Kluyveromyces lactis: one gene and its partners. The protein of the gene in region 6 binds, or shares a complex with, the protein of the main gene of each other region. Links are inferred from orthologs where the notes say so. Each region holds a gene or a part of one and is shown on either strand. Other genes may lie near its edges.

The links.
Region 1: YSH1 (region 6) and CFT2 share a complex: the UniProt entries of both Saccharomyces cerevisiae proteins name them as parts of the cleavage and polyadenylation factor (CPF) complex. The link is inferred for Kluyveromyces lactis from reciprocal best matches to the Saccharomyces cerevisiae genes YSH1 and CFT2.
Region 2: YSH1 (region 6) and PFS2 share a complex: the UniProt entries of both Saccharomyces cerevisiae proteins name them as parts of the cleavage and polyadenylation factor (CPF) complex. The link is inferred for Kluyveromyces lactis from reciprocal best matches to the Saccharomyces cerevisiae genes YSH1 and PFS2.
Region 3: YSH1 (region 6) and PTI1 share a complex: the UniProt entries of both Saccharomyces cerevisiae proteins name them as parts of the cleavage and polyadenylation factor (CPF) complex. The link is inferred for Kluyveromyces lactis from reciprocal best matches to the Saccharomyces cerevisiae genes YSH1 and PTI1.
Region 4: YSH1 (region 6) and SWD2 share a complex: the UniProt entries of both Saccharomyces cerevisiae proteins name them as parts of the cleavage and polyadenylation factor (CPF) complex. The link is inferred for Kluyveromyces lactis from reciprocal best matches to the Saccharomyces cerevisiae genes YSH1 and SWD2.
Region 5: YSH1 (region 6) and CFT1 share a complex: the UniProt entries of both Saccharomyces cerevisiae proteins name them as parts of the cleavage and polyadenylation factor (CPF) complex. The link is inferred for Kluyveromyces lactis from reciprocal best matches to the Saccharomyces cerevisiae genes YSH1 and CFT1.
Region 7: YSH1 (region 6) and YTH1 share a complex: the UniProt entries of both Saccharomyces cerevisiae proteins name them as parts of the cleavage and polyadenylation factor (CPF) complex. The link is inferred for Kluyveromyces lactis from reciprocal best matches to the Saccharomyces cerevisiae genes YSH1 and YTH1.

What each region holds. Positions count from the first base shown.
Region 1 is NC_006041.1:1,062,456-1,067,470, forward strand, and holds CFT2 (cleavage polyadenylation factor subunit CFT2), read right to left. Parts: upstream 3,080-5,015; coding exon 641-3,079; downstream 1-640. Other genes in the region: KLLA0_E12035g (uncharacterized protein), read left to right, coding at 3,716-5,015. UniProt on the Saccharomyces cerevisiae protein: RNA-binding component of the cleavage and polyadenylation factor (CPF) complex, which plays a key role in polyadenylation-dependent pre-mRNA 3'-end formation and cooperates with cleavage factors including the CFIA complex and NAB4/CFIB.
Region 2 is NC_006041.1:644,084-647,900, reverse strand, and holds PFS2 (cleavage polyadenylation factor subunit PFS2), read right to left. Parts: upstream 2,136-3,817; coding exon 777-2,135; downstream 1-776. Other genes in the region: PFK27 (6-phosphofructo-2-kinase), read left to right, coding at 1-384; BSC6 (Bsc6p), read right to left, coding at 2,532-3,817. UniProt on the Saccharomyces cerevisiae protein: Integral and essential component of the cleavage and polyadenylation factor (CPF) complex, which plays a key role in polyadenylation-dependent pre-mRNA 3'-end formation and cooperates with cleavage factors including the CFIA complex and NAB4/CFIB.
Region 3 is NC_006042.1:1,903,711-1,907,620, reverse strand, and holds PTI1 (cleavage polyadenylation factor subunit PTI1), read right to left. Parts: upstream 2,145-3,910; coding exon 900-2,144; downstream 1-899. Other genes in the region: KLLA0_F20504g (sphinganine kinase LCB4), read left to right, coding at 3,192-3,910. UniProt on the Saccharomyces cerevisiae protein: Component of the cleavage and polyadenylation factor (CPF) complex, which plays a key role in polyadenylation-dependent pre-mRNA 3'-end formation and cooperates with cleavage factors including the CFIA complex and NAB4/CFIB.
Region 4 is NC_006041.1:1,606,342-1,610,085, reverse strand, and holds SWD2 (WD-repeat containing protein SWD2), read right to left. Parts: upstream 1,716-3,744; coding exon 735-1,715; downstream 1-734. Other genes in the region: ATP-dependent 5'-3' DNA helicase HCS1, read left to right, coding at 1-753; MCO12 (Mco12p), read left to right, coding at 1,984-1,989, 2,106-2,357; MND2 (Mnd2p), read left to right, coding at 2,676-3,491; tyrosine protein phosphatase YVH1, read right to left, coding at 3,584-3,744. UniProt on the Saccharomyces cerevisiae protein: The COMPASS (Set1C) complex specifically mono-, di- and trimethylates histone H3 to form H3K4me1/2/3, which subsequently plays a role in telomere length maintenance and transcription elongation regulation. Involved in mediating RNA polymerase II termination.
Region 5 is NC_006039.1:880,159-884,931, forward strand, and holds the start of CFT1 (cleavage/polyadenylation factor CFT1), read right to left. Parts: upstream 3,148-4,773; coding exon 1-3,147. Other genes in the region: PRO1 (glutamate 5-kinase), read left to right, coding at 3,486-4,742. UniProt on the Saccharomyces cerevisiae protein: RNA-binding component of the cleavage and polyadenylation factor (CPF) complex, which plays a key role in polyadenylation-dependent pre-mRNA 3'-end formation and cooperates with cleavage factors including the CFIA complex and NAB4/CFIB.
Region 6 is NC_006039.1:418,488-423,495, reverse strand, and holds YSH1 (cleavage polyadenylation factor subunit YSH1), read left to right. Parts: upstream 1-1,610; coding exon 1,611-3,905; downstream 3,906-5,008. Other genes in the region: KLLA0_C04620g (uncharacterized protein), read left to right, coding at 1-791; DBP9 (ATP-dependent DNA/RNA helicase), read left to right, coding at 4,495-5,008. UniProt on the Saccharomyces cerevisiae protein: Component of the cleavage and polyadenylation factor (CPF) complex, which plays a key role in polyadenylation-dependent pre-mRNA 3'-end formation and cooperates with cleavage factors including the CFIA complex and NAB4/CFIB. Has endonuclease activity.
Region 7 is NC_006042.1:760,352-763,641, reverse strand, and holds YTH1 (cleavage polyadenylation factor RNA-binding subunit YTH1), read right to left. Parts: upstream 1,678-3,290; coding exon 1,045-1,677; downstream 1-1,044. Other genes in the region: lipid-binding protein PIL1, read right to left, coding at 1-188; FUN14 (Fun14p), read right to left, coding at 1,894-2,400; protein phosphatase 2A regulatory subunit RTS1, read right to left, coding at 3,002-3,290. UniProt on the Saccharomyces cerevisiae protein: RNA-binding component of the cleavage and polyadenylation factor (CPF) complex, which plays a key role in polyadenylation-dependent pre-mRNA 3'-end formation and cooperates with cleavage factors including the CFIA complex and NAB4/CFIB.

The DNA of each region.
Region 1 (5,015 bases), on a different chromosome or scaffold from region 6:
CACGGAGTCGTATTTGTGGAATATCGGGATTTTCTGAGTTTCATATTCGGGCTACCTGTTGTGGTATATGACTGTACATGTCACGTGGCTTAGATCTTGTCAGATCTTTATTAGAAGAATTCATCTTGATTAGCTATCTATCTCCTAGTAGAATTAGATGCACCTGGTGTCTGTAGATCTGATCCCTACTAATTAGTAGATTAGATCTGAGTACTGGTTTATATACTTTGCTATGTGTCAGTGACACAAAACTATCATTAACCGCCTATTATATTGGTATCACCCGGTCATGCATTATGACTAGTTCCAACGAAATCAGTGTTCTGCAACCGTTGAGCGAACCTGTAGTGCAAAGTTTTTCTATTTCTCAAGTACAGATCCGCGATAGTTTAATGGTTAGAATTCGCGCTTGTCGCGTGCGAGATCGGGGTTCAATTCCCCGTCGCGGAGTATATTTTTTGCCCTCTAACCCCCCCAGATAAAGAATGCCAGACCTAGAATAGATGTTTGAATCCCGACATACATACCCCATTGGTCAGCTCTACAACTGATCTATAAATGCTTTACTACAATGCTAAATTACTATAATTAATTAATATCTAAGTCGATGTCACGTTTATAGAAAGCTTCCGCGAACAATTTAAACGTTGGCTAGCATGTCTGACACTGCCGATTTGACCTTGTAAAATACGTCCGATGGTGAACCATCAACTATGGTTTCGGCATCATTAATCTTCCGAACCAAAACTTTGCCATCAATCACTAGTGTACCTTCACCTTGGAACTCAGCTTTATGATTTTCCGCAGTTAGTCTTCTTTTCAATTCCGGTAGTCTAACATCTCCGATTCTTAGAGAACTTCCAGAATGTAAAGCTAACGGGTTGCTTAACGGTTTCAATATAACCTTCTCCCGATGTGGGGCTTTTGGGTCAGTTTCTGTCAATAGTTTACCAACAACGTGTGCCACAGTGAAAGATTTACTGATTCTTTGCCAGTTTAGAAGTTGGTCGAGCGATGGATCGATAGAAATATCAATTGCCTTGACAGATGTATCCATCTCAACCGAATTATTGAACTCAGTCACCAATATGTCAATATTTCTCTTTGTTAGATTAACCACGACTTGGTTATCAACAGGAGCAGCTGATGGCAGCACAATGACTTTTCTTGGTTTGATTGCAGGCCAGATGATTGCTATCGACCGCGCATTAACTATGCTTGTCAAGTCGATATATACCAAAGAACAACGAATGTTAACTTTTGTTTCCACAATTGCTCGTTTATAAATGTCACTTTTCAATGGGTCCAAGTAAGAAATATCATCATTATTTTCTTGTTTCCTAGGATTATGATCTGTTTTTCTTTTCTTTGATTTATTAATCCGCGAATCAAGTACCTCATATGTATCATCGTCATCGTCTTCATCATAATCGTTATTACTATAAGATTGCTTTAAAGATTGTGCTTGGTCATATGATTCTTCCTGTGGTAAGAATCTCTTTAAGTTGACCACATCACCGTAATCGTCAGATTTAAGCTTTGCTGGATGGAATGGGAACATAAGGTGCTTTTCATTTGTGGAAACACTATCATTGGAAGTAATATCTACGGGAATCTCCACTTTAACGTTTCCCGATCCATTCTTGCCTCTTGCATCCATTGAATCCACACCTTCTTCGTCGCTACTCTCATCATCAACATCAAAAAGTATTGTTTTTGTTTGAGCTTTGTCATTGGTCTTAGCCGTATATTCTTCGATAATTTTCTCTCTTACCTCATTTCTAGTTTTAATCATTTCTCTCACCTTCTCCGCATCCTTCTTGTTTAAAATTGTTCTCTTCATGATTCGAAGTGACATCGAATCAGATATGCTAATGGGGTTGCCATCCAATGCACTTCTACTCCCATTCTTTATTGCTTGTTGCCATTTATCATTAAGTTTTCGTAAGGGATGTTGTGCTGGGGTATTTGGATGTCTCTCTGTCAATATGATCGTTACTTTATCTTTAGAGCAAAGTTTGTTTATCGTTTGTGACAAAATATCATCAACTTCGGAAACAAGACAGATCTTTTGCCCAGTGTAACCTCCCAATTCCTCAGGAGTAATAATCCTCAATCTAGATACAACATCGAATGGAGACCGATTGTCTCGAGATTCCCAGGTCTTGATTACTTGCGAGGACAACCATTCTAACATAGATTTAGCATATGTGAGAGAACGGCCCCTTGAATAAGATATTAGAAACACCGGAATATCATACTTCAATCCACCCCTCATATTTTCATATAAGAAATTGTTAACTAGGACTAGTACTTCCAATAGTTTCCCTCCTACTTCAACTGGTACCAGTAAAGAGTTATTCATTTGTATAGCTCTTTTCATGGTATCAGTGAAATGTTCTACTCTTTTCCTCTGAGGTTCAGCTGAGCCTATAATAGAAAGGTTGGTTATTACAGAAGTCGGATGCATCATGGAACTGGTTGGATTTCCAGTATTGTCTAATAGGTCCGCACTATTCAAGATAGTATCTCTTGTATGGTTCCAACGAGGCGCATACAATATTTTTTCTGATGAAGTGATTATCGTCCAAATGGTACCACCGGGAGCATACCCTGAGTTATGTGCTTCTAATGAGAGCCCATCGAATTTATTCTTTAAATCCACCGTTTGAGAGTATTTCACCGTTTCAATCAAGTCAAAGGAGCTTTCAATATCTTCTAGGTCCATGACGGCATTAGAAAACGGTCCTAATATCCCAACTGAAGTTAAAAGGTCAACACTGTTGACTCTGCCTAGATTTGATACAGGTAACGTCCCATAAACTTGAATTCTCGACCTAAAATGAGGCAAAAACTGTTTAAACATCATGGCATAGGACCCAAGGCATTCAATTGTGGGCTGGGAAATCAGAACAATGTCAACTTCAGATATGTACTGCGTCCAAAACTCTTCACATTCTTCATAACTGCCTTCACCGTTCCATCCTGGGTCCAATAATACTATTACATTGTTGAATCGTACAATGGTTCCCTCAAACCGCTTCTTCTCATCCCTACATGTTTCGATGGTGTATGTCATCTTGAGAGCACAGTTACTTCTATATTTGAAAAACAATGAGAATCCACTGGTTGGAATGGGAAAGGAAAAGGTGTCCTCAGTGCCGGCAATCTCTTCTTCTTCTTCCTTTATCCTTCATTCTTCAATTATTTGCATGTACTGTTTAAATGAACTTAATGTTGATGCCTTGAGTATCATTTTGACATGTTATGTCCGGGTAATGAGATATAATGTCAGTAAGAAGGATTAAGAGGCCAAACTGAGACAGGGAAGTTGTTATTGGACGAGATACTGCTGCAATCTGTAGGTTGGTACGGTCCAGTAGGTGGAATATCAAACATATTTCATTGCTTACAATTATAGGCAACAAAATCCACAATTTTATCGGTACTTTAAGTGTCAAAATGTATTCCGAACGTTCTTTGAGGTTGAGTCAGCATATTAAAGAATAAAGCGACAGATTACGGAACAGATTGCTCAACTGACCCAAACACTGGAAGAAGTCTAAAGGCATCTTGGATATACCAGCGTACTTGAAATCAGTTGAATTATAAGGACCTAGTTTACAACGTGCAAGATAAGCTGCATTAGTTGACACTTTTGACAGATTTGCTAATGATAAGAAGGAGGAGAAGAAGATTTAAGGGTACAAAAGTAATGAGTCTTCCGATCGAAATTATTGATCGTGTAGTAACTAGCGGACTAGACAGTCTAGAGAGTCTGTTAGCATGGAGTAAGGTTGGTTCACATTTTAGAACAATTATAAAGCGCAAGCTTGGTGTATTGAAGATTTGGGATTTGGATAGGGAATCATCAAAAACCTTAGCAGATCCTTGCAATTATGAGTTGTTATCTGATGAGAGAAACACCGCTTGCGTAAATACAGATACGTTCAAGTTTCCTGTGTTGAGCGAATTTCTACGGAAGTTTGACAACGTTCTCATTGTCATCGTATCCGATCGCTGCTACAGTGACCCATTGGCGACGGCATTATGTGAATTAAGTAGAGGGCTAAGTGGGATGGGTACTCTAAAGAATCTATGCTTCATGTATAAGACGACTACCAATTTCCTTTCCAAGTTCTATTTCAGAGAGCTAAGCCATTGTCAAAGCCAACTACGATTATGTGAATTACATATATTCGCCAACCGAGATATTAATCACCAGGAAGTTGACATGTTTGATATCGACACGATATTTGAGACTACTTATTTACATGACGTGGAAACGCTGTTCACTTTGAACATAAGAAGGGGTAAGAAAGTGATTGCACCTAGGATTATGACAGTGAATCAATTGCAATGTGAGGATAACACTACAATAGTCGATGATCTACAATACTGTCCCCTGCTTAAAACGATTGAAAAATTCCAAGTGCCACCAGGAAAGAGAGTTGTATTACCACCATGCGACCATTTAACTCTCGTCAGTTACAATAGTAACACTGAAAGGGATCTTGTTGATGGATCCTTCGTGAGAGAATCTTTGACAATCAGGGCATCCCCAATGTGTTCAGAAGCCAATTTCAAGAACATCAAATGCCGCAACATTCGATCCCTATGTGTCGAATTTAGTAACAGTGTCTGGGGTAACGTCAAGTTCATCGATTGTGCTTTTGGGAACCTAAGGTCTTACAGGTGTCCAGTGAATACAGAATGGGAAGATTTGGTTTATTCAAACTCAATTTACGTTGATACAATCATATTCAAAATCTCAAACATGCTGTCACTACAGAACCTCGCACAGATCCCATTCACGTTGGACAACCTCGTCTTGAATTCAGACGACAAGGAATTGAAACCACCAGAATGTAAGCCGGATCAAATGAGAAGCATATACGGTTGTAAACAGGTAATCCAAGAATTGAAAAGGTTGGAATTCGAACTTTCAAGCATCTGGGACTGCGCCGTATTTCAACATGTGATCATTCCAAATCTCACAAATGATTCTGAATTGT
Region 2 (3,817 bases), on a different chromosome or scaffold from region 6:
TTCGACCACTATTGCAAAGAAAATGCAAGAGTGAACGAAGGTTCTCACAATCCAAATTTCGGTTTATTCTTTTTCCATATCATGAACGCAGGACAATTTTCTGCAGACGATAGTAATATGTACTACTTCCCCTCGCAATACTGTTCCGATACAGCAGAACTTATCAATACAATGGAATATTTCATGGAGAATTATTCTAAAATGTACGGATACGGATACATCGAAAAGGCTAACGAATTTTTGAAGTATGGGACATCGTCCCCTACTTCTCCTCAACCATCCTCTTCCCGTGATAGATCTGATGCCATAGATGAAAATGTCCGAAAATCCAATATAATGACGTTGCACGAAAGTATCAATGATACTTATCTACAAACGTTGTAATCTCTTATACCATATGATTTGGCTATATTTATTAGAGTTTGAATGCCAGTGCTCCTTGCCAATTGATACACCAATTATAAAAAAAATATTAATGACGAAATGATATCTTATAAATTTAATGACCTTTTGACCGCCAGTTGATTAAGCGACTGGAATTGTAACGACCTCCTAACACTTTTTTGTTTTTATTTCTCGGTTCTTTTTAACACTTTTATATATTCAACAACTACTGATTCTTTTTTTACCTATTTAGTATAGTATTTTACTCGTTAACCTCTATTTTAGTTTATTCAATCGATACAGTCTACTTATTAATGATGAAGAAAAGGTAGATTTACATTTAATCTGCTTAAATAATATTGATGCTATAATTTCCATGACTTTCAATTGTCTTAAAAACTTAGGCCTGGTAATCCTGATCCCAAACCTGGTAAAGTACTGACAGATGGTCGCTCAGGTTCAACTGATCTGGAACCGTCGCCATTTTCATTATTATTGGAGTCTTCACTTGGTGGCAAAGCAACACCGTGTTCTGTTTTGTTTCTGACAGCATTAATGTTATTATTGATACCGAAGTACCAAGCATTAACTTTTTCATTGTTATATGTTGGATCATCAAAGGCGTTTGGATCGACTGCTCTCGATCTCGTCCAGAATCGAATAGTCCTATCTTTCGAGGCGCTAGCCATGATGTGACCAATTGGACTATATGCTAATGATGTAACACATTTTTCATGTGCATATGGAATGTTGTGTGTAGGTTTGTTTGGCTGATTTTCCTGGGATAGATCGAAATGTTTTATAGATCCATCATAGCATCCAACGGTAAACACTGTTTCATCGATTGGATGCCACTGTAATGTCATGTAGTCGACATCATCACGAACACTGAAAAGCTCTTTAGCCTGTTGTCGTATATCATATACCTTGCATGTTTTATCCTTCGAAATTACAGATAGTAAGTTTCCCTGTTTGGGTTGGAATTTCGTCGAGATGATAGTATGTTTAAAACCAAGCATGGTGGATACGCAGCTACCACTACGCGGATCCCAGAATTTGATAAGATTGTCTTTGGATCCTGATACGATTAAACCCATCTTCGGATGCCAGTCGCATGATTTGACGTCCCAATGATGGCCTGATAGCACCCTTTCTTGTTGTCCGTTGCTAAAGTTCCATATTTTCAACACATTATCATCAGAACAACTGACAAACTTCTGGTCGGTCGGACTAAACGATATTTCCCTTACACATTCCATATGTGCTTGGTCCATGACTTTAACCATATTAAAGTTTGGTTGCCAGATCTTAAGCTCCCCATCAGCGCTACCACTAACCATCCAATCCCCTGTATGTGAGTATGTCATCACGGTTACTGCACTATCATGAGCCTGCATAATACTTTCGAAATTGAAACTGGATCCACTCCATAATGAAAACTCTCCATTGTATGTAGCTACCACTAACCTTCTTCCTTCTGGCGTCCACGTAAGAGCCGGAATAACGTGCTTTACCTTATTTGATGAAAGATGCGTAAATTTGGTTGCTGTATTGATGGCATGCCCATGAAAACCATAGGCATCTGGCGGTAGTATATGAGCATTATATGAGGTTTCTGCCTCTATATATGACGAATTCTCCTGGCCATGCTTCTTCAAGAAATATAGTCTATCATAAGATGCAGAAATGTCAATTGTTCGTCTTTGCGATGTATACTTTTTAGTTGTGGTGCCCTCGGTATTAGGATCCATGCTATGTCTTTTTCAAGCTGAGACCAGGCTGTGTTGAAATTTCTGAGAACAGTATGAATAGTAGTTCACCTAAGTTTCGTAATGTGAAACGTTGGCCGTGTCTTTTGATACATGTTTTATGCATTTCCTACCTCTCAATATCATTAAATGCAAGTAATATTCTGATTTCGGTAGTTTTTGATGCCAGCTCGATGTTGAAGTTGCTTCAAGTAAAGAAAAAAAAATAGATCACGTGCAGCAGACCTTAAGCATAAGAATGAAGCTGATTCAATTACTTCTGTAGTATGGATTTAAAATACATATGTCCGTTAAGAAGTAGGAGCGATTCCCCTATTATATATAAGTAAATAATTTCCATGCGCGGCACGATATTCATATCTGTTGAGCTTGAGTAATTTATAAGTACTCTCTATGTCCTTTGATAATTTTCGGGTAGAGCATCCAAACTATGTTGAATGCCAAAGAACCAAGGAAGCATAGAAATGGATAGTATTGGAACCCAAAAATCTTGTTTGCAAACCCAAAAGAGTATGTTATTAATGCACCACCACACCCTCCGAAAGCGATTGCTGTACCAATACCACTAACTTGTTGATGTTTCGGTAGGATTTGGATTGCAACAACACTTGCGTTAGGGAACAAGGGACCTATGAAGATACCAGCGCCAAAGATCATCAACGATAAAACAAAGAAATAGAATGTCGATGTGGAATTGATTAGATTGATGATAACGAATAGGAAAAAAAACAATGAACAAGTCAAACCGTACCAAACGCTTGACCTGTATTCATTTTTGAACCTTTTTGTAACAAAACCAAGACCTAATCTACCGATAGTGATCCCAGACCAGAATGACGCAGTAACAAATGACATAAGGAACTTCTCACCTTTCTTATAATTCAACAAATATGTGAATAGCCATGTCCCAACACCAATTTCTGTACCTAAGTACAAGAATAAGAAAAATGCATACAAGAAAATCATCGGAGGATACTTCGATAACTGGTACCATTTTATCTCTTCCTCATTTTCAATACCACCTGATTCATCGGGGACTCCTACACAGATGTATCTGTATTTGGTAGCAGTTTCGTATTTAAAGGCCCCCATGCAGAGTGCCAACCCCACAAGAGCAAACACCAAAGGGACCCAAAAGATATAAGACCAATCCAAATAATGATCGAAGGTTGTAACTAATGGTGGGGTTACACCAGCGGCCAACCCGTATATTCCATGAAGCAAACCCATCCATTCATTCTTTCTAGTCTCTAAATTACCAAAGTAGAAATTACCTGTAGAGTCAACAAACCCAACACACATACCTAGCGGAAAGAAGCATATCGCATAAAGATAGAGCGAATATGGTTTTAGGGCAAGAACCAAGTAGGTAAATGCAGCAAGTATACATGATGCTGTCATTACGCCTCGAGACCCCCATTTTTTATGCAAAATATCATTTAAGACCGATGCCGACACATAGCCCATCAATTGAAGGAAAAACACTATCGACATTTGAAGCTCGGTGACATTGTAATACTTAGTAATAACAGGCATCAAAGATCCATTCACTTGATCCGTCATACCAAACATCACGAATAATACCAAACATGTCGCGATTTGTAGGCGGACGACTGACACCTTTTCATAATTGGCAGGATATAGCACAACTTCTTCGCCTTCGT
Region 3 (3,910 bases), on a different chromosome or scaffold from region 6:
TGATTACTCTGTGCTTGTGGACTGGGTGTAAACTAAAAACACAATTACAAACAACATGTAAATTATAGAAACTGGTTCCTCTAGTTCAGAGAGAACAATCTACCCATGGATTTATATACGATTTTTTTTCCCATGATTCATGTGCACCTCATCTGTATAGTCCCGCGCTCCCTTTAAGAATCGCCTTGCTTTAATTTCATAAGCACTTTTTTTTCATTGATCTCTAAGCTCAATAAGCACAGTGTTTTACGCTGTAGTAATTATCCGCGCGCCATTCAAAAAATTAAGAGCAGCGAATAGGTATTTTAACGAATAGGTCGGTGAAACTGCGACGGAAACCTCTTCTGCCCTCTCTTCCTCCTTCCCTCCTTTCCTCCTTCCTTCCTTATCAGCTCAGATCGGCACTGATGATACCTGATATAACATACTGAAAACAGAAACGGATTACTGCAAGAGAGGACTTGACAAGTTTTTCTTTTTACACACGCACATAAACAAATATCTATCTAATCTCTCCAAAGGATCCTGACACAAAGTGCTCCGTGTTGCTGTGGAGGGCGGCAGCTACCGCCAAAACATTCGAATAGTAGCCCAATCGTTTCGGCATTTCTTTCCCTTTGCGCTTTCCTTAGACATTTCCCTCGACGTTCGTTTCCCTTCATTTCGCCGCATGCATTTGACATCTTCCTGTTTTGAAATGTCGGTTATTTCAGCTTTTTCCATTTTCAGTTTCCTGTATGAGCCAAGTCGTTAAAGAGGAAAACTTGCGCGCGGAACTTTTAGGTTGGGAAACACGGTGGTATACACTATAGATAGAAAGAAAGCCTTCGAGCCATTATGGATGACTAAGAGATAGGAATTGTGCTATGTATTTTTCTTGTTATTGCTATTATTATTATCTATAGAAGGTAGTCGTTTTTGAGTTGCTGTATTAGTTGTTGCTGGCCTGGTGGAAGAGCCATTATGTTCGTTATGGGCATCGAAAGCGCAGTTCTGATCATGTTCTGTTGATCTTGCGGCAGTAGCGAAAGTTTTGCCTCGTTGAACTGCTGTGGGGTGTTGGCAGCGTTGGTTGTAGCGGTGGTGGTAATATCACCACCAGTACCGTTACCACCGCTGTTAATGCCTTGAGCCGTCTGGGGTACAGACGGCTCAGGTAGTTGAACTGGCGGCAGAGTTGGTACTGTAGGCGCGGCTGCGGCAGGCGTGGGTCCAACAGAATGTTGGCCCTGCATTTGGCCTAGAACATTTGATATCACGTGATAGTTTATCAACCCCATTTCTAGCATTGCCTGAGTGACAGCTACCGTTAAGTCAATGTTAGTCTTCAAGAATTGTTCCAGTTGTGGCTTCTTGTTATGCTGGTTGGCTAAGATCTTCAAGTTTGATAGAATCTCGATCATTTGTAACGTAGGAATCTTCGATAGATTTTGAGATACCACATCCGGTGCAGTCATCGAGCCCGGTTGGTATGCTGGTAGATGCTTTGATGCCCGTGCTAAGATCTCTGGGATCTCTATCTGCTGTGCCGGTGCCTCGTTCGCCTTCGAGGCAAGGTTATCCGAGGCAGCATTCGTAGATGCAGTGTTATTCTCCGAGGATAGTGTGCTTCCTGCGTCACTTGTTATTGGTTGCACCACCGGCAACGGCTTTCTTGGTAAAGGTACCTCACTTACCATTTCAAACGGTAGTTCTAATTTGTAATCCCAGGGAAAATTGTCTCTTGTGAACTCTAACGGTTTCAGTTGGTCTATTTTCTCTAACTTTTCTTTCCAATCTTTGGGAATCACCATGGACATCCTACATGGGAAATGGTTTATCTTATTTATTGAATTTTGGGCCCTATTGGCGGAGGAAGAGTCCCTGAAATCTACATCTACCCATTCAAGACATCCTCTTTCACTTCCAGCTCCAGCTCCAGCTCCAGTTCCTTTTCCCCCTTCTCGTTCTCCTGCTTCTTCGACCTCATCCACGTATTTCTCTCTAACGTCAACTATATATCCAGAACCAGTTATCACAGATGTGAAGTTATCCTTGTTCCACTGAGCAGGTATGTCAGTAAAACGTATGGTAGATGAAAGATTGTGCGGGGTCAGTTCATGCCTGCTTTTCCTAGTACGAGGATCCTTCTGTGGGTCATGCATACTTTGACTGTGTTTAGTTAGAAACCAACTTAAGAGTATTTCACCGTTTCGATATATATATGTATTCTCTAAATTGCAAACTTGTTATCGCAAATATCTGACTGGTGTCTAGTAACTAGTATTATTTTGCCTCACAATGAATCGTTACGAACATACATAATTACATATTCATTCTTTCTAGTCGACAGCAGATTTCTTAATTCATTAGTATGGCCGTTAGTCTTTAACGATGCTTAGAATCTTTTTAAGTTAACATTCATATAAGAACAATATCCGGGTAATAATTGATTATATATCACGTGCCAACTGATGTTTCTTTTGTTTTGTATTTCTTAGATTTACATGAAATCGAAAATCAGGAAGCCTTCGAAGTTAAAACGTAAAGATATGATTGATGAATAAGAAACTGTTCTGTCCACATCCAATATCAGCCAGAGTATTGTTAATCAAGCCTCTACTATTTAAGAAAATTGTTCTAAGGATCTACTCTCGTGGTTTGTTATCTAGACAAGAAGACAGTCTGATAAAAAAAGCATTGCGCATCGGTTCTTATATAAGCATCGTGAACCTAGGAAATTTGTTTAGAGAATTTGTCTGTGAGAATTCTAGTTTAACTGGTGGATAGTACTATACTTTATTATCATTTCCAAGAAACGTTTCCATTTATCATATTTATGACAACGATTTGGTGTTCTCCGTTTTCAAGTTAGATATATCAAATTAAATCGAACTGAACTGAAAGGAACAGTAATATATCCGTCATCCCGAAAACATACCCCCTGTGATTTATTAGCTAGGTATTGATAAGAGGATTCATCAGAGAATAACAGAAGACATAGTCATTGATCTTGTTTGACTGTATCTCAATTTTGAATCAGTCTCTTTTTTTTTGATTTTGTTTTGCGTTATTTTCACGTAAAGGTGGAAAAGAGGTAGTTAATTATTCTTGTTGAGTTGCCAAAACTGTTGTGGTCCAAACAGAGATCAGAGTCTGATTCAGATATTTCCCTTCATCTGAGAAAAAGGAAACAGAGGGCTGCAAGAATAATGAGTAAGCTGAGCAGGAAGTATCATTTGCCCTATACAAGAGCCATCATTGGCGAAAATGGTTTATTGATTAAAGATCAATTTACGTCCGGTCCTTCAACAAGCTCATCGACGCTTTTGGCACGCAGAAGTAATGGAGGTGATTTCGGCGATGACGAGGATGACGAAGACGGCGATGCTTCTGGGAGCTTCCAATCTAGTGTTTTTGAAACAGCTTCGTTAATCAGTTGTGTTACTTGTCTCAGCGACACGGAATCTAAAGATGAGAATGAAGCTCTGCTGCTACCTTCAAATACGGTTATTCCTTACGCAAAGATTCTTGATGTCACGAATATGGAAGCAGAAGATGATGGTTCCCCATGGCCGGATCATACTGCATTGATTGAAGTCACTTTTGCAAAGCCAAGGAGGAACCATTTAGTCCCAAAAACAATAAAATTGAGCGTCGATACTTCAGTGTTTCCTAATATGGGAACTGATGTGGCAGAAGAGATCTTGAATAGAAGTTATAAAAACACTAAGAGAAACAAATCAATTCTAGTCATTATCAACCCACACGGTGGTAAGGGTAAAGCCAATAAATTGTTCTTGTCCAAAGCCAAACCAATATTATTAGCAAGTGGTTGCAAAATCGTTGTTAAAGAGACAACATATCATTTGCATGCTGTCGACATTGCAAAAAATTTGGATATAGATGAATACGACGTAGTTGCATGTGC
Region 4 (3,744 bases), on a different chromosome or scaffold from region 6:
GATAAAGTAAAGCGCTTGTTGAGTACTACCGTGTTTGACAGATTATTGCAACATTACGGCAACGAATTTAAGTACTTGCTAAATGTACAGTACAGAATGAACGAAGAAATTATGCAGTTTTCTTCTAACGAATTATATGACGGGAAATTGAAAGCAGATGACTCCGTTGCGAAACAACTGCTAGCAGATTTACCAGGTGTTGAATCGAACGACAACACTACTTTCCCATGTATTTGGTTAGATACTGAGGGAGACGACTTTCCAGAAAGGTCTGATGAAAATGACAACGATGCAGACGATAAGTTCCACCTAGTCTCTTCAAAATACAACGAAAATGAAGCATATTTGGCATTATACCACGTTGAGCAGTTGATAAAGGCTGGTGTTACGGAAGAAAGTATTGGTGTGATCTCCCCGTATAATTCACAAGTATCGCTGTTGAAAAAACTCATCCATGAAAAGCATCAAGCAATTGAGATATCTACCGTAGACGGATTTCAAGGTAGAGAAAAGGAGTGCATCATCCTATCTTTAGTAAGAAGTAACGAGAATTTCGAGGTTGGGTTCTTGAAAGATGAAAGAAGATTAAATGTCGCGATGACCAGACCTAAAAGGCAGCTTTGTGTCATCGGTAACATGGAAATGTTATCGAGATGTCGAGTGCCATTCCTAAATAGATGGGTGCTCTGGGTAGAGTCTGGCTTCGAAGTCATATATCCAGATCCCAGTATAATTCATTCGTTATATACGTAGAAATCTACAGTTTCATCTGCAGTGACAAACATGCTATATTTAGGATTGAATGCAATAGTTCTGGGACATGTATTTGGTGCGGCGTTAATAAATCCTTGAGGTTTGAGCGTCCTACCACTGATGAAGTCTGCGTGGTTCCATATCGCGATCTTCCCAGTGTAATCAGTTCCCAATGTAATGCGTCCATCTGGAGTGAACGTTGCGGATCCAGAATCCATGAACTCTCTCAATGGGAAAGGTTTAGTTCCTGATAATTCAAATAACTGTGTACCATCGAAGGAATCCATGATCAAATGTTTTCCAGCGGACGACGCAAGCAACAAATATTTACCATCGTTTGAAAACTCCAATTTATTCCACTGATCAAAGCTTGGATCCACATTTATAACTAAAAATGGGCCCGCCTTCAAATGTTTTACGTTATATAAACCGACTTCATGGTTCTCAGGGTTACCAATGGCGAACACAAGCCCGCTTGGATCGTAAGCAATGCATGTGGGGACTAAACTTGGTATAAGGGCCTGTGCCTTGGAGCTTCTCAAATCCCAAAGTCTTACCGATTCGTCATACGATGCAGACAAAAAAGTATCATCCAACGGGGACATTTGTATATCGCTCACTAGAGCACCATGGCCCTGGAAATATCTAAGGTATGTGTTTGTTTCAAGATTCAAATGCCTTATGTCAAACGATTTCATAGTGGATGAATAGATACATTCTGATTGCGCATGTGTAAACTTTGCGGAATGACATCCGTATTTTTTAGAAGCGATGGTATTCAAAAACCTGCAACTTACTGCATCATATAGATGCATATTATCACTAGCAGTTGCAGTCAACAAGTACTGGCCATGGTCATCAAATGTCACTGAAGTTATAGGTCCCAATTCTTTATCAGAAACTCTGAAGGACTTCACAGGCTCAAATCGTAGAAGATTGCTCTTGGAAATGCTAACAGTCATATTTCCTTTCTCAGCTAACTTTTAGATAATCACAGAACTGTTGCTAAACCGCTGGTGTCCCGTTGAGCTTCTCTTTTTGTCTCCAAATTGGTAATATTTCTTGATGGTGTTAACAGTTTTATTTAAATTTAAATGTTCCTCGAAATTGTAATGACATCTGTCAAAGAAATCAATAGTGTTAGTCACTTGCAGGTAGAGAAATAGAGCCTTTCTGGTCTTACTCTGGCTTTATAAAGAACTGACATATTTGAGATTTGTAATAAGAATCATGGGTGTACGTACCGTTCATTTTTTTGAAGAAGGTGGTTAGATACACCACCGTTTTCATCAACGGACTTTGATTTACTAACTAAAAGGTAATCTTAACTGCATTTATCAAATTCCAATCAGGTTAAAGATATAGTTCATTACAGTATTGACTTAGCGTTGTTGTCTATGGTATTGGCTGGATTGCGTAGAAGTAACAATTATGTTGTCGCTTATGAAATGTCTGACTTGAAGAATTATATTAAACGGTATCTTGACTGGGGAGAATACTTATTCGATAAGTTGGCTAACATGGCTGAAAGAAGTGCTTATTTTAGGAAACAGACTCCTTTTGACAAGTTCTTGGATCATATGGAAAGAAAGCGTAACCTGTAGTTACACCAATAACGTTTATTCAAACATACATACTAATATATAATATTCAGTTCTTTTTAGTGTCTTCTATCAATTCATATCAAATATAAGATAACTGGAGTGAATGCCATCAAGACGCCGGCGTTTAACTACTGGTAATTGGTGAGTAGTACAGCTCTCCTTATTTTTGTTGATGCTTTTTCTATTTCTTTTAAAATAAAACCTTTAAATCATGATTTACTTGTGTCCTGTTAAACACCACTGTGTCAATGGCAATAACAGACATTAAGAGGCTGTTCACAAAATATTTTTGGAGACAGTAGGCTTTACAAGTAAGATATGGGGCTTGGAGAGTTTATGTATGGCCTTGATGCCTTCAGACAACCTTCTGCACCATCCGATTTCAATAACATTCCTTTGATAAACAATCTACGAAAAGAGCTTCTGCAAAGCAAGACAAGCAGAAAAGGGAAACCGGTGAGTTGGAACATTGATAAAGATACCAAGAGACGGATCAAGCCTGGGAAGAGATTGATTCCTCTTGCGGCGTATACTTGCCATAGTGAGAAACCTTTAATTGCCAATAATGACGGAGATGTGTCTGATTCCAATACCATTAACATTCTAGATAAATCGACACTATTGCTGATAAGATCTCTTGGCTACTCAAGTTTGCGACCTATTGGCATTGATAAAACCCTAAAAGAGATCGAAAAGGAGAAGGGAAGTAAACAGAACAAGCAACAAAATGAACACAATTCAGGGCAAGAACCAATACTTAATGCCTACCAAACTTCCTCTTCATTTATTGTGTCAAATCATAATCATCAACATACAGAACAATCGGTACTGCTGACAGCACAAGTTGGTGAACAATCTGAAGAAGAGTACGATCAAAGTTATGATTACGATAACGAGTATGCGGAAGTTCACGAACAAGGATCTATGCTCGACAGAACGAGAGGTACGTTTGTTGAGGATTCACAATTAATTGATACAAGTTATACCAACCGGTCAAGATCCAGGCATTCAAATGTGGATGCACTGCCATTTGTAAATGAAAATGAGGATTCGGTCCATGAACAGCCATCGTTGACCATATCTGATACTCTAGACTCCGGTGCTCAAGGTTCACGAGTATCTAGCCTCACCTAAATGCCTATTAAAGAAGAATGACATGTATTAAACAAATAAAATAAAAAATGCTAACCTTTATGAATGATATTTATGCGAGTACTGAGAGACCATTATTCTTCAAACGATACTAAATTAGGTAGGTCTTTCCTAGTTAATGCTATTTGTTCGACTTTAGCTGTTTGGATATGGATTGCCGGAATCATCCATTTACCACAACTGCATCTAGAACCTTTCCAATTGTAACCTCCGATCTTGCTATCACAGTTCGGAC
Region 5 (4,773 bases), about 460 kb from region 6:
CGCTTTTGAGCTCTGGCCGATCATAAATCTCCCACTTATTTCACATACAGCATTCACAGATCCGCGAATTTCTTCTTCAAAGAGCTGTTTAAACTTGAAATTACTATCTGGTTTGCCTGGTTCGGCCACCACTTCTGTTATATCCAGAACCAGTAAACAGCCAGTGCTAGGCTGATCTTCTTCTTTTACAAAAGAACTTCCGATAATGACCAGCTCCCGCTTTCTTCTAGTCTTTGAGTTCAACTGAATGAGCATGGTTTTAATGTCGTTTACCATGGAATTCTCAGACAAGTCAAGCCGATCAATGATATTCCACGTGAGTGGATTGATCAAAAGAAGTCCAGATTTATACCCAGTACTATTTGGTTTGCTTGGATCGTAACCTACAAGGGGCTCACCATCTTCACTTAGAGCTTGATATTCGATGAATTTGGTATAGGAGATGATATACATTCCGGTCCGTTCATGGTACGCAATATTTCCTAAAGTTTCAAATTCCTCAACAACATCTTCAATAATGATTTTTCTAAGAATCTGAGTATTCCCATAATAACATTCAGGATCTAATTTCATTACTCTTGCATTTTTAATATTATCTACGCACATCACAGAGTTTTTACCCCACCTAGCCATTGTGACAATAGGTATATTAGTCATCCGGAATATCCGACATACCGAATTATCTTCTTTGATTATGATATATGGTACTTGACCAGTAATAAATACTACTGAATATCCATTGTAGTTAGGGAAGTAATGAGCAACCCTTTCTATTTTATTAACTCCTTGAGGGTATGCATTGTTAGGAGCACCGGTAATTAGAGGATGGGATTTACATTTTAAGAGTTTACCGCTGTGCTTTGTCGACTTCTTGTACTGATAGATCTCCCCACCAAACGTAAGAATAGTTAGAAATTCTTCTTTCTTATGATGGCCCAATCTGTTTAACATGATTTGCTTTATTGATGGGTCCGGGTTCATTTCTTCAGGAATCTGATACGTACTTATAAAAAGCATGTCTTCTAGCTGATCGACACCATTTAACTGAAATATCCTGTCATTGTGCTTTTCGGTAAAGAAAATAACCTGATTGTCGCCCGTTACAAATGTGAAGAGAAGCTGTTCTTGTGAAGAGTTTTCCAATCCATGTAGGAATTTGTTGCAAATGTTACTCTTGAAAATGGAACCAGATGTGATGATAATTTCATTGAGAGCCTCTGGAAGCTTAAATTTGATGAATTTTTTTTTATTTTTAGAGTCTAGTTGATAAATTTTGATGTTACCTCTAGCATCCGTGAATAGAATATATGGATCAATAATACACGCATGAACAATTTCGATATCAATAGTTAATCTTGCTAACCTCTTAAAGTCAACATCAAATAGATATAATCCTCCTGAAGTTACCTGTAAAATACGTTTATCGTCGTCCATAGTTTCCATGCCGATGGTTCTGCTGTCTTTTCTAAAATCTTGCGCCCTAAAAGGTTCAAAATTTCTATCAATCTGATATACATCACTTTTCTCTTTATCAGCGTCTGTAGTCACAAGATACTTGTCTTTTCCCTTTATTTTCAAATTCCAGATACGGGTCGCACTTGTGAATTTTAAGGCTTGTTCTATGTGGGGCTGGACAGTGGAATGCAATGCAGTGAGGTGAGATCCCCTCCCAACTCCAGATGTAGCTACAATTGAGAATTCATCTTTGTTAGGATTGGGAAGTCTCTGAATAGTTGGTTCAACAGATGCGACCTTACCAATAGTAAGAGATGTTAGAGGACCGATATTGAAAATGGAGTCCAACAATGATATATCGAAAGGCTCTTGTGTTTCGACGATTCTGGTGTGAGTATTATTTTGAGACTCTCCATAAAGTGCACTGTATTCATCGTCATCGTCATCAACAGTTTCAACAAGTTGTCGTTTTGCTGCAAATGCCACTTTCAAGTTTTTAAGTTGCAGAAACATTGCATCACCTGAGAGAAAACCTATAAGAACTCTGCCAGTTTCTAAGTTGAGATCACCACATACCGACAACGGCAATCTTGAATTTTTGAAGATCTCGTTAACAATCGGTACTTGTACACAGTCAAATTTGGTAAGTAGATTACCCTCTGATTCTGTAATAATGTTGTACATCCTGCAGTTTTCATCTATCAAAATAAGCAAATCATGTCTTTTCAAAGCTTTATAGAAATATATTGAACTCTTTGATAGAAAGATATTCATGTCAGAATTATCAGTTATCCTTGTATTGATTGAAGACGTTGCAAATGTGTTCAATCGTATGCACGATTGTAGTGCACCAGATGCACTGATATATAATAATTCATTGACACCAATCAACACATATCCCCTCTTCAGTGGAACCAAGGTGTGCAGGTCGTTCGGAAGATCTGCAAGCTCAGCAATCACGGTGGTTTTTTCATCTTCGACATCTAAACTCAAAACCATGTACCTCATAGTATTTCCAAGTACTTTTTCATTTCCACACCACGCAAGTACCGGTTGATATAATATTCCCACAGTTGGCTTGCTGAAATTATTTAACCATTTTATATCATAGACATGCTTGAGACTCTTGTGAAGGCTAGAAATTGGCATTATTATACTATCGGATGTGATTCCTTGGTTCCTTTTTAAGCGTTTAGCCATTGGCTCTTTTATTCCGTTCTCATCCTCATCAATTTCCATATCTTCTGTGTTCAGTTTCAATGGCAATATAGCTAAAACATCTTCATTAAAAACCAGAAGACATCTAAACAATGGATCCACTGCCATAATGGACTCCGTCTTCAAAGAAGAAGTGCTTAAATTGACAAATTTGTCGTGATAATAATGCAGACTTAGTGTTTCAAGACTCTCTGCCACTGGGTCAAACCTTACCAACGATACTTTGGATTTCGACGAAAGTATTGCAAGCATCTTAAGAGGCGATCCAATTTGGGGCAGTAATTGCATATCTATGATTTTACCTGCTAGTTTCCATTCATATGCAAGTACAAGCTTTTGTGCTCGCGAGACCCTGAATACAGAGAGAACATTGGTTCTTGCAACAACGTATTCTTCCCTTTCCGCTGACGTAAAATTCCCATGTAAGCATTTATTAACCACAGTGGGTTGCAATATCTCGTCAAAAACGTTCATTTATTATCTATCCCCGATATTTAAACGTTTCAGATTCAGGTGTGACTGAAGAGTGCTAGTATGCCCACCTACGCTCGTCTGTTTCCAGTGTTCTTAGTAATGATAGTTACCTATATTTTGAAGAACCGGTGAATATTTAAAAATTCACAGAAACTGAAAGTAAATGTTTCGATGACATCTGCAGACCATTTGAAAAGATGAATAACTGCATCTGCAAAACAGATATAAACATAGTGTACTGTCTGTGAGCAGCAGCTATTAGTCAATCTGGCCTGAAATTTCTGTAACCAAAGGTTTCTACGGACCGCGAGAAGAAGAACGTTTTCCAACAAGTTCAGATGGTAAAGCAGTTCGTCATAGTCATAAAATTGGGATCTTCATCACTAGTTGATGAAGAGACCAAAGAACCAAAACTTTCTATCATGTCATTGATTGTGGAGACTGTGGTAAAGTTACGCAGAAGAGGACACAAAGTTATCATTGTATCTAGTGGAGGTATCGCCGTCGGATTGAAAACGATGAATATGAAGGGAAGGCCAAAGAAACTATCCAAGGTGCAAGCAATCGCAGCTGTGGGCCAAGGCAGATTAATTGGGAGGTGGGATTCCTTGTTCTCTGAATTTGATCAGAGAATTGCTCAAATCCTAATTACTCGAAATGACATTGTTGATTGGACTCAGTATAAGAATGCACAGAATACTATTAGTGAATTACTTTCCATGGGAGTAGTGCCAATCGTTAATGAGAATGACACTTTATCTGTGAGCGAAATCAAATTTGGTGATAATGATACATTATCAGCTATCACAGCAGCGTTGACTGGTGCTGATTATCTATTTTTATTGACAGATGTTGACTGTTTATACACTGATAATCCAAGAGCAAATCCCGATGCAAAACCTATCTTGGTTGTTCCAGATATATCACAAGGATTGCCAGGTGTGAACACAGACGGTGGATCTGGATCAGATGTTGGAACTGGTGGTATGAAGACTAAGCTTATTGCGGCAGAATTAGCAACCAATGCTGGTGTCCATACCATCATTATGAAGAGCGACACTCCAGAAAACATTTCCAAAATTGTTCTCTACATGCAGGAAAGGGACGATGGCGTGAATGAACTTACACAAGATTTGGCTGACCTACAACTCACTGAGATGCAAAGTTTAGTTAATAATCATGTTCCTCTTCATACTAGGTTTATTGCCAATAGTAATCATCATCACTTGAAGAACAGACAATTCTGGATGCTTCATGGACTCGTCAGTCAAGGCGCTGTAATTATAGACATTGGTGCATACGAAGCGTTAACGAGGAAAAACAAAGCTGGTTTGTTACCTGCAGGCGTTATTGAAGTCCAAGGGAGCTTCCATGAACATGAATGTATAGATATAAAATTGGGAGTCAGGGATTCAGATGGAAATTTGGATAAATCCGTTGCACTGAAAACAGTAGGTAGGGCTCGTTGCAACTATACAAGCACAGAGTTATCAAAAATTAAAGGTCTGCAAAGTGATCAGATTGAAGATATTCTAGGCTATGCTGATAGTGAATACGTAGCTCATAGGGAAAATTTAGCATTCCCTCCTCATTAACCTAAAGTGAATGAAAATATACTTTACATGT
Region 6 (5,008 bases):
CATTTTTGCAACAACATCAAGCGCAGCAAAATTTACAGGCCTACCTTTCTTCATTAAATGGTGCTTTCGAGAATAACAATGCGCAAATGATGCAATCTGCCAATGGGATGGGGTCTCATGTGAATAATAGGACAGCAACTACTCTGCCCCCTCAACAAAATCAAAATTCATTAAATCCCATCACTCAGAATCATCCTTCACTGTTTAGTGGTGGTGCTGATAATAAAGCATCCGTAACTTCATCTGACATGTCTTCCCCAACCGGCTGGCAACACGGAAATGCAGACATTTTCCAAAAAAAGCAACCAGCCAACTTTGTAAAGTCTCCTAACACACCGTTGCACCCAATATCATTCTCCGTCGGTCCTTCACCCAGGCCGAACGATAATGGTATAATCTTCAATAATGGTACCCATACGATGATCAACAACATCTCCACATGGACCAACGACTCGGTTTTGGATTTGATGAACAGTAATCATTACGTAGATCCACTGAATGGAGGCAACAATATGGGCAACCTAAACGGATCTTTACAATCATCAGCGACAACAAATGATCAAAAGACTTTTGTCATGCCCAATCGAGACAACAATCCTGGCACTCTGAATAACTCCCTGAATTGGAGAAACTCTTCATTTACCAACATGAATATGAACTTCAATCAACCAGATAATCAGCAAGGTCAAAGACCACCGCAACAGCAACAACAACAGCAATTGGAAGCTATGTTGTCAGTTCCCGTTGAAGAATTTTGGACCGTTAACGACGATTATGGATTCCTCACTTGAAGCCTTCAATTCAAACGTTGAACACCTCTACAGAGGATATTCCCCGTAATTAAAGAAAAAAATACAACCATTTTTCATACTAAGTGTTAATGTCTTATGTTTCCGTCATTCCACAACATTTCGTTTTCATTCTACTCTTTCCTTTTAATTCAAAGAGTATTCACTCGTTTTTAGTTGTAATATATATCTAGCAAAAAAATTTGTGTTTACATACATTCTGCAGTTTAATTCGTTTCATTCCATTTTACCAACACACTTGCAGTAATTTAGCCAGATGTGACCTGATCCAAGTAAATAAATCTAGTCACGTGACCTATCCTGTTCCCTTTACCCTTTGTTTCATTCTGATATATTGTCGATCAGAAATTCTACATATTATTATTTCAACATCTACATAGTAAGGGAAAACAATCAGTTTAAGATAGGTGTTAGAACCCGACAAGCAGCAAGATTCTCACTAGAAACAGTACGTAACGACATTTGTTATCAAGATGTGTTCTCAAATCATCTTAGGTTGCCTTCAGCCCTCTCTTTACTAACTTTTCGTTATCAATATCTACCTCTACTCCCTCTGTACACCAATATGCTATTTCCTAGTTTCTCACTTTTTTCTCACTTTTTTCTGTAAGACATTAAAACCAGTTAACGTTTATTGAAAATCTTAGCAATTCAACATAAAGAAGAGTGTCCTGTCCAATGGTTACCGAGCAACCTCTGTTGGTATTCGGGCACTCATAACAGATATCGGGGGGCTCAAGCAGACAGTAACTTTTGACGTGTTTGTGAGAGCATTTTGTCTGTCCTTTGCATTGTCAAGAAATGACTCAATTGGAAAATGAGGTTCCAGACAAGGACCATCTTCGCTTTTTCTCACTAGGAGGATCCAATGAAGTGGGGAGATCGTGTCATATACTTCAGTATAAGGGCAAGACTCTAATGTTAGATGCAGGTATCCATCCGGCCCATCAAGGTTTAGCTTCATTGCCCTATTACGATGAATTCGATCTCTCCACAATCGATCTTCTTTTAATCTCACATTTTCATCTTGACCACGCGGCATCATTGCCTTATGTGATGCAACGAACGAATTTTCGTGGTAGAGTATTCATGACACATCCGACCAAAGCTATATATCGTTGGCTTTTGAATGATTTCGTCAAGGTGACCAGCATAGGAGACAGTCCAGGACAGGATTCAAGTAATGATAATTTATACTCTGATGAGGACTTGGCTGAGTCCTTTGATAGGATAGAAACTATTGACTATCATTCCACTATGGAGGTAAATGGTATTAAATTTACAGCGTTCCATGCAGGTCATGTTCTTGGAGCAGCGATGTTTCAAATTGAAATCGCTGGTGTTCGTGTATTATTTACTGGTGATTATTCAAGAGAAGTGGACCGTCACCTTAACTCTGCTGAGGTACCACCTCAGTCTTCGGACGTCATAATTGTGGAAAGTACATTTGGTACCGCTACTCACGAACCAAGACAAAACAGGGAAAGAAAGTTGACCCAGTTAATACATACCGTGGTATCTAAGGGAGGACGTGTTCTTTTACCGGTGTTTGCCCTTGGAAGAGCTCAAGAAATCATGCTTATATTAGACGAATATTGGCAGAATCACAAAGAAGAACTCGGAAACGGGCAAGTACCTATCTTTTACGCATCAAATCTTGCTAAGAAATGTATGAGTGTCTTTCAGACATATGTTAATATGATGAATGACGATATTCGTAAAAAATTCAAAGATTCTCAAACAAATCCATTCATCTTCAAGAATATTTCTTACCTCAAGAATTTGGATGAATTCGAGGATTTTGGTCCCAGTGTCATGTTAGCATCCCCAGGTATGTTGCAAAACGGTCTATCTAGAGACATTTTAGAAAAATGGTGTCCAGAAGAAAAAAATCTGGTTCTTGTCACTGGTTATTCTGTAGAAGGTACAATGGCAAAATATTTGTTACTAGAACCTGAGGCTATTCCCTCGGTACACAACCCTGAGATAACTATCCCAAGACGTTGCCAAGTGGATGAAATAACATTCGCTGCTCATGTTGACTTTAGGGAAAATTTAGAATTTATCGAGCTAATTGGAGCTAGCAACATCATTTTAGTTCATGGCGAATCCAACCCAATGGGTCGTTTAAAATCAGCCCTTCTTTCTAATTTCAGCTCTCTCAAGGATACTGAAAACGAGGTTCATGTTTTCAATCCTAGAAATTGTGTCTTTGTTGATATTGAGTTCAAGGATGTTAAGGTTGCCAGGGCAGTTGGGAAAATTATTGAAGATCTCGATGAGTTTATAACTGAAGAAGACGCACTAAAGAATGAGAAAAGAATCACGGAAATCCATGAAGAGGATCCAGAAACAGAGGAAAGTAAAACGGAAATTGTCAAAGAAGAAAATGAGAAAATAGTTTCAGGTATATTGGTGTCAGATGAGAAGAATTTTGATCTAAGTTTAGTTTCGCTTTCAGATTTAAGAGAACATTATCAACAATTATCTACTACAGTTTTGACAGAAAGACAGACAGTCCACTTGGACTGTAAAAGCGAACTAGTATATTGGCATATCTGCCAAATGTTTGGTGACGTAGATGTATACATTGACGAAGAAAACGTCTCATTGAAGAACATCAATCCCGAATTCAAGACGAGGAAGATAAAGAAGGGTGAACTAGAAATAAAAATCATGGGAGATGTAATATTAAATATAGTTGACAATGTAGCTACATTGCAATGGACTCAGAATGTTATCAGTGATTCAGTCGCGGATAGTGTCATGGCAATTCTACTGAGTGTCGAGAGCGCTCCAGCAAGTATCAAAATGAGTTCGAAGTCATGTGGACATCATCATGGACACGATGATCACACGACTAAAATTAAGAACATATCGAGAGTTTTCAAGGAACAGTTTGGTGATACTTTTACATTATTTTTGAATGAGGAAGACTCCAAAGAAGAAATAAAAGGCACTATCAACTTAGGAAAAACAACAGCATGTATAAACTTCTCAAAAATGGTTGTGGAAGAATGTAACTCTAATCCATTGAAAGGTAGAATAGAGAGTTTATTAAAAATTGGCTCCGACTTGGTGGCCCCATTGTGTTAATCTGTCTCATATATAGATATGATTATATATGAGCTAGTCATTAATCATCTTTTTGCATTAACTATATACTTTTCAACCCTATACTGCCATCTTGCCAAGGTGTTCCTCTGTACTAAATAATCTATTAAAACTTTAAAGATGCATTCAAGTTTCAATTAACTGAATGAACATATCGTTTTCGACAAGTTACAAAAGACACCAAGAGGACAAAAAACCATTTACTAAACTACTAAACGCGATATATATATATATATTCTCATTATAACAGTAAATTTTAAATCAATCTACCAATACCATGGCAAAATCAGAGCTACAGTGAGGTATTTCATTCACATTGCCAATCCAGAAGAGACAAGATAACTCAATCACGTGACTCATAAATCCTTTTGCCTGTGTAGTTTCTTTTTGCACCTCAAGAAAATTTTTGGGAAGCTCATCTCATCTCATCCAGAGTCTGAACGTACAAGAGCTGTAAAACAGGCTAAATGGGTCTCAACTATCAGCAGCATTAACCTTTTGATCGAAACTTACAACCGAGGTTATAGTTAAAGTGTTCGACGAGAGCTAGAGTCCAGAAAAACGCTTCAATATGGCTCAAACAAGCGCTTCCCAGGGATACATTGATGATTCTTCTTCTTTCGATTCGTTCCACTTGGATTCACGTTTATCACAAGCCATCCGCAGTATCGGCTTCAAACACCCTACTTTGATCCAATCCAGTGCGATACCATTAGCTCTTCAAGAGAAAAGGGATATCATAGCGAAAGCTAGTACCGGCTCTGGTAAAACTTTAGCATATTTGATACCAGTGATTCAAACAATTTTAGATCATAAGAAGGCAGATCAGAATGATGAAGGTGCCACTCTAGGGGTAATATTGGTCCCAACTAGAGAATTGGCTCAGCAAGTTTTAGAAGTTGTTGAAAAGCTCATTGTTTTCTGTTCTCAAGAAATTAAATGCTTAAATCTTTCATCGGGTAATGTATCGGGAAACTTATTGAAATCTTTACTTACCGAAAATCCAGAAATATTGATAGCTACGCCGGCCAAGTTAGTAGATTTACTAGATGCGCAAGATGTTAATATTGACAGGTTGAAGTTCT
Region 7 (3,290 bases), on a different chromosome or scaffold from region 6:
TTCACTAATTGAGACAACTTACGTGAAAGTTCAGGACCAAACGCACCAGCTGCGTTTCTTCTGAAACTGTAAGCTAAACCACCCTTACCGAAAAATCTGCTCTTGGTAGAAGATGGTGGTGGTGGTGGATTCTGTAAATCAGAGGCAGTTGGTGCCCTGGTAGTCCTCAAAGAATATGTTCTGTGCATGGTTGTAATATATGGTGTCTTTATCTTTTTTTTTAACTATTACTCGATCAAATGAACTCTATATAACTGAGCGTATGTTCAATATTAATAGCTTGCGTGTTATTATCACAATAGTAACCTTACTTTTAAATATAGAAGTGTTATATATATATACAAATAAATTACCAAATGCAATGGCAATTCTCCTAAAAGTGGCCGGAAGTTGCTTTGGAAAAACCTTGCTTCCATTAATTTTCCTTTTTACCCTTTTCCCTTTTTTTTATTTCTGTTTGTTTTCGTCGAAAATTTCATTTTCCATTTTGAGCAAAACCTCGCTGGTTCATAGACAGCAGCAGAGGAGAGACGAAGTGACGAAGAGGTACCGGTCGACAGCCTTGCTGTGATGCGAGACTGCCATCCCAGTAGCTGGCTAGTGCCAGTTATAGGTGTATTAGAAAACTGACTTCAAGAACTCACGCTGTTGCCTGGTGTACATTCATGCGTCCGCTCTCAGGGTTAATGCTTATCAGTATTGCAAGAAAAAAAAGAAACCGAAAGAAACTGTGGAATGGAGTGTTCTATACTGGGGAATATGTCGACCGCGTGTCCATAAATGAAACTCAGCGAATGATTTTGGCTGAGAGGTCTGATACCTATTGGATAAGCAATTTAAGGTATGTGAGCCTTGGTTCCCTTAATTTTTCAGGTGTGTTGCTTTTGCTGTCGGTTGATAGAATTATCCGGCTGTAACATTGTGTAGTATTATGTTACTTAGTATCTGTATCTGTATCGAATTACGTATGGTGAGCTGAATAGTGAATAGTGACAGCAGCAGTGGCTGAGAACGAACGCACTGATGAAAACTGAAAAAATTCAGTCACGTGACTAGGATGTCACCGTTGATAATGGCATTCAAGCGTCTTTCCCTTTCCTCATCCATCTTTCTTGTATTAATATGCTCGTCTTTCTTGATGCGCAGTTTGCTGTGTTCTGAAGGTACTTTGAATTTGGGATGCGACCAGTCGCAATCTTTACCCAGTGGACAAAACCCTACCAAGTATCTGGGGCAAAGTACCTTTTTGACATGTTTCTTCGTGCATGCAGGTCCCGATGGACAGAACCCCATATTATAATCCTCACATTCTTCTAACTGACTCTTGTGATCTACGTGCAAGTATTGACACTCCGGTGATTGTGTACAGTACCCGTTCTTGGTGAAGAATACACACTCGGGCATCTTTCTTAGGTTATACTCGTGTAAATATTCACATTGATCGTTCTTCTTGCAGAGACCTCGGAGCCAGTGCTTACAAACAATCTTGTTCTGAAATATCGGTAGCACATGCTTGTTTGGACAGCGTGCTCCGTTGGGACAGGATTTTATCCCCTCTCTTGAATTATAGTATTGGCATACCGGTCTATCTGGATCTAACGAGAACGAATATTCTTTCCGTAGAAATGGCTCGAAATTAAACTCGTACTTCGAGGTATCTGGATGAACTATACTCATTAGTTTAAACTCCCTTATCTCCTTGACAACCCAGTCTAATGTAGCCTACCAGTCGTTTATGAAAATGTCTTTGATGATTGGTAATTAATCATGTTACAAGCGAGTTACACACAATAATTATTTTACTAATTCTTAAATATAACGTTATAGGATATTCTGGGTTTTCACATGAGAAAAAGTCACGTGAACTGAATAAGGTAGCGTTCTCGGAACCAATCAGACGTTAAGTGCAGCTAGCACAAATGTCAAGATGAATGAGACTTTGAAGCTGGGTTTGTCCCAGATCAATGTGTTCAAATCAATCCTCTCACGGCCGATGGTCACAACGTATTTGGAAAGAGAACGAGTGCTGTCACTGCTGATAACTCCCCTGTTCTGCAAGAATTGTAACCCAACGAATCCAACCCCGGTGATGAACACGAGAAGACTTGATATCTTACCAAAGATAACACCGAACACTAGACCTAAAATTGACCCGTAGCACATTTGTCTGTAGTTGACTCTTCTTTGCTTCGAACTTATATCAACACGGCTTGGCAATCCAAGCTCTTGTGGTAGATTCGTTCTTTGCTTAACATCAACAATTGAATCGTTCATGATATATGAGCTTGGTTGCATCGAGTGCAACAACGATCCACCACCGACTAATAAACTACCGCTGAATCCAACATAAACACTTCTTCTTAATGGCACGCCAAGGTTTCTTGCTGCTGTTCTGAACATCTTTCCTAATTCTTTACCTATTATGTCGATTGGTCTGTCTTCACTCGAGGATATAAAACACAATTCTGAGTTGAACTAAATGAGACTGATTTCTAACCGAATTTCTTCGTTATCGAAAGATTAAATTATAAACAGTGATTTTGTCTACGAATTGTCGTTTTCTTAACTCAATAGCAATTTGCACGTACTTCTCAATATTTCTTTATATAGCCATACTGACGATGGAGCCTGCGACCCTTTTTTTTCAACCGATGTTGAAATTTAAGAATCATACAAAACCCAACATGCTGAAAAGAATAGGATTTGGGTGACAGTCATTATAAAAAAGAATATATAGAATTGTCAGTTAGAAAGTGATAAGCGGCAAGTTATCAGTCAAGTAGTACCTTTATTACTATTTTATATGTAAATTAAGGCCTCCTATTTGGGTTGGAAATCATTTGTCGTTTACTGATATATACGGAAACAATTCTATGTTCGGTGAAAAAGACGCGTAGATATAAGTATATACATAACTTTTACCGTGATGATGATGATAATGAAGACGATAATAATGATTTGGTGATGGTGAGTCCGTAAGGATGATAGTGGTCACTTTTTTTCAACTTTCTGCGATCTTCAACTTCGAAACGTAATCCTCTAATTGTTTCCAGTTCATTTCCCTCTCTTTTTGACGTCTGTTGTTTTCTTTCAAACTAGATATGTAAAGTGCGTTGCAATTTTCGTATAAGACATTGTTCGTTTCAAGGAAAATTTTCAATGCTTTGAAAGCCATTGCATGAATGGCACGATTCCATGAGCCGGAATTTATGGCTTGCTCGACCATTAAGTACGGATCTTCACCATTATCACCATCCTCTAAACTCAACGGATCATTCTTGTCCAGTTGT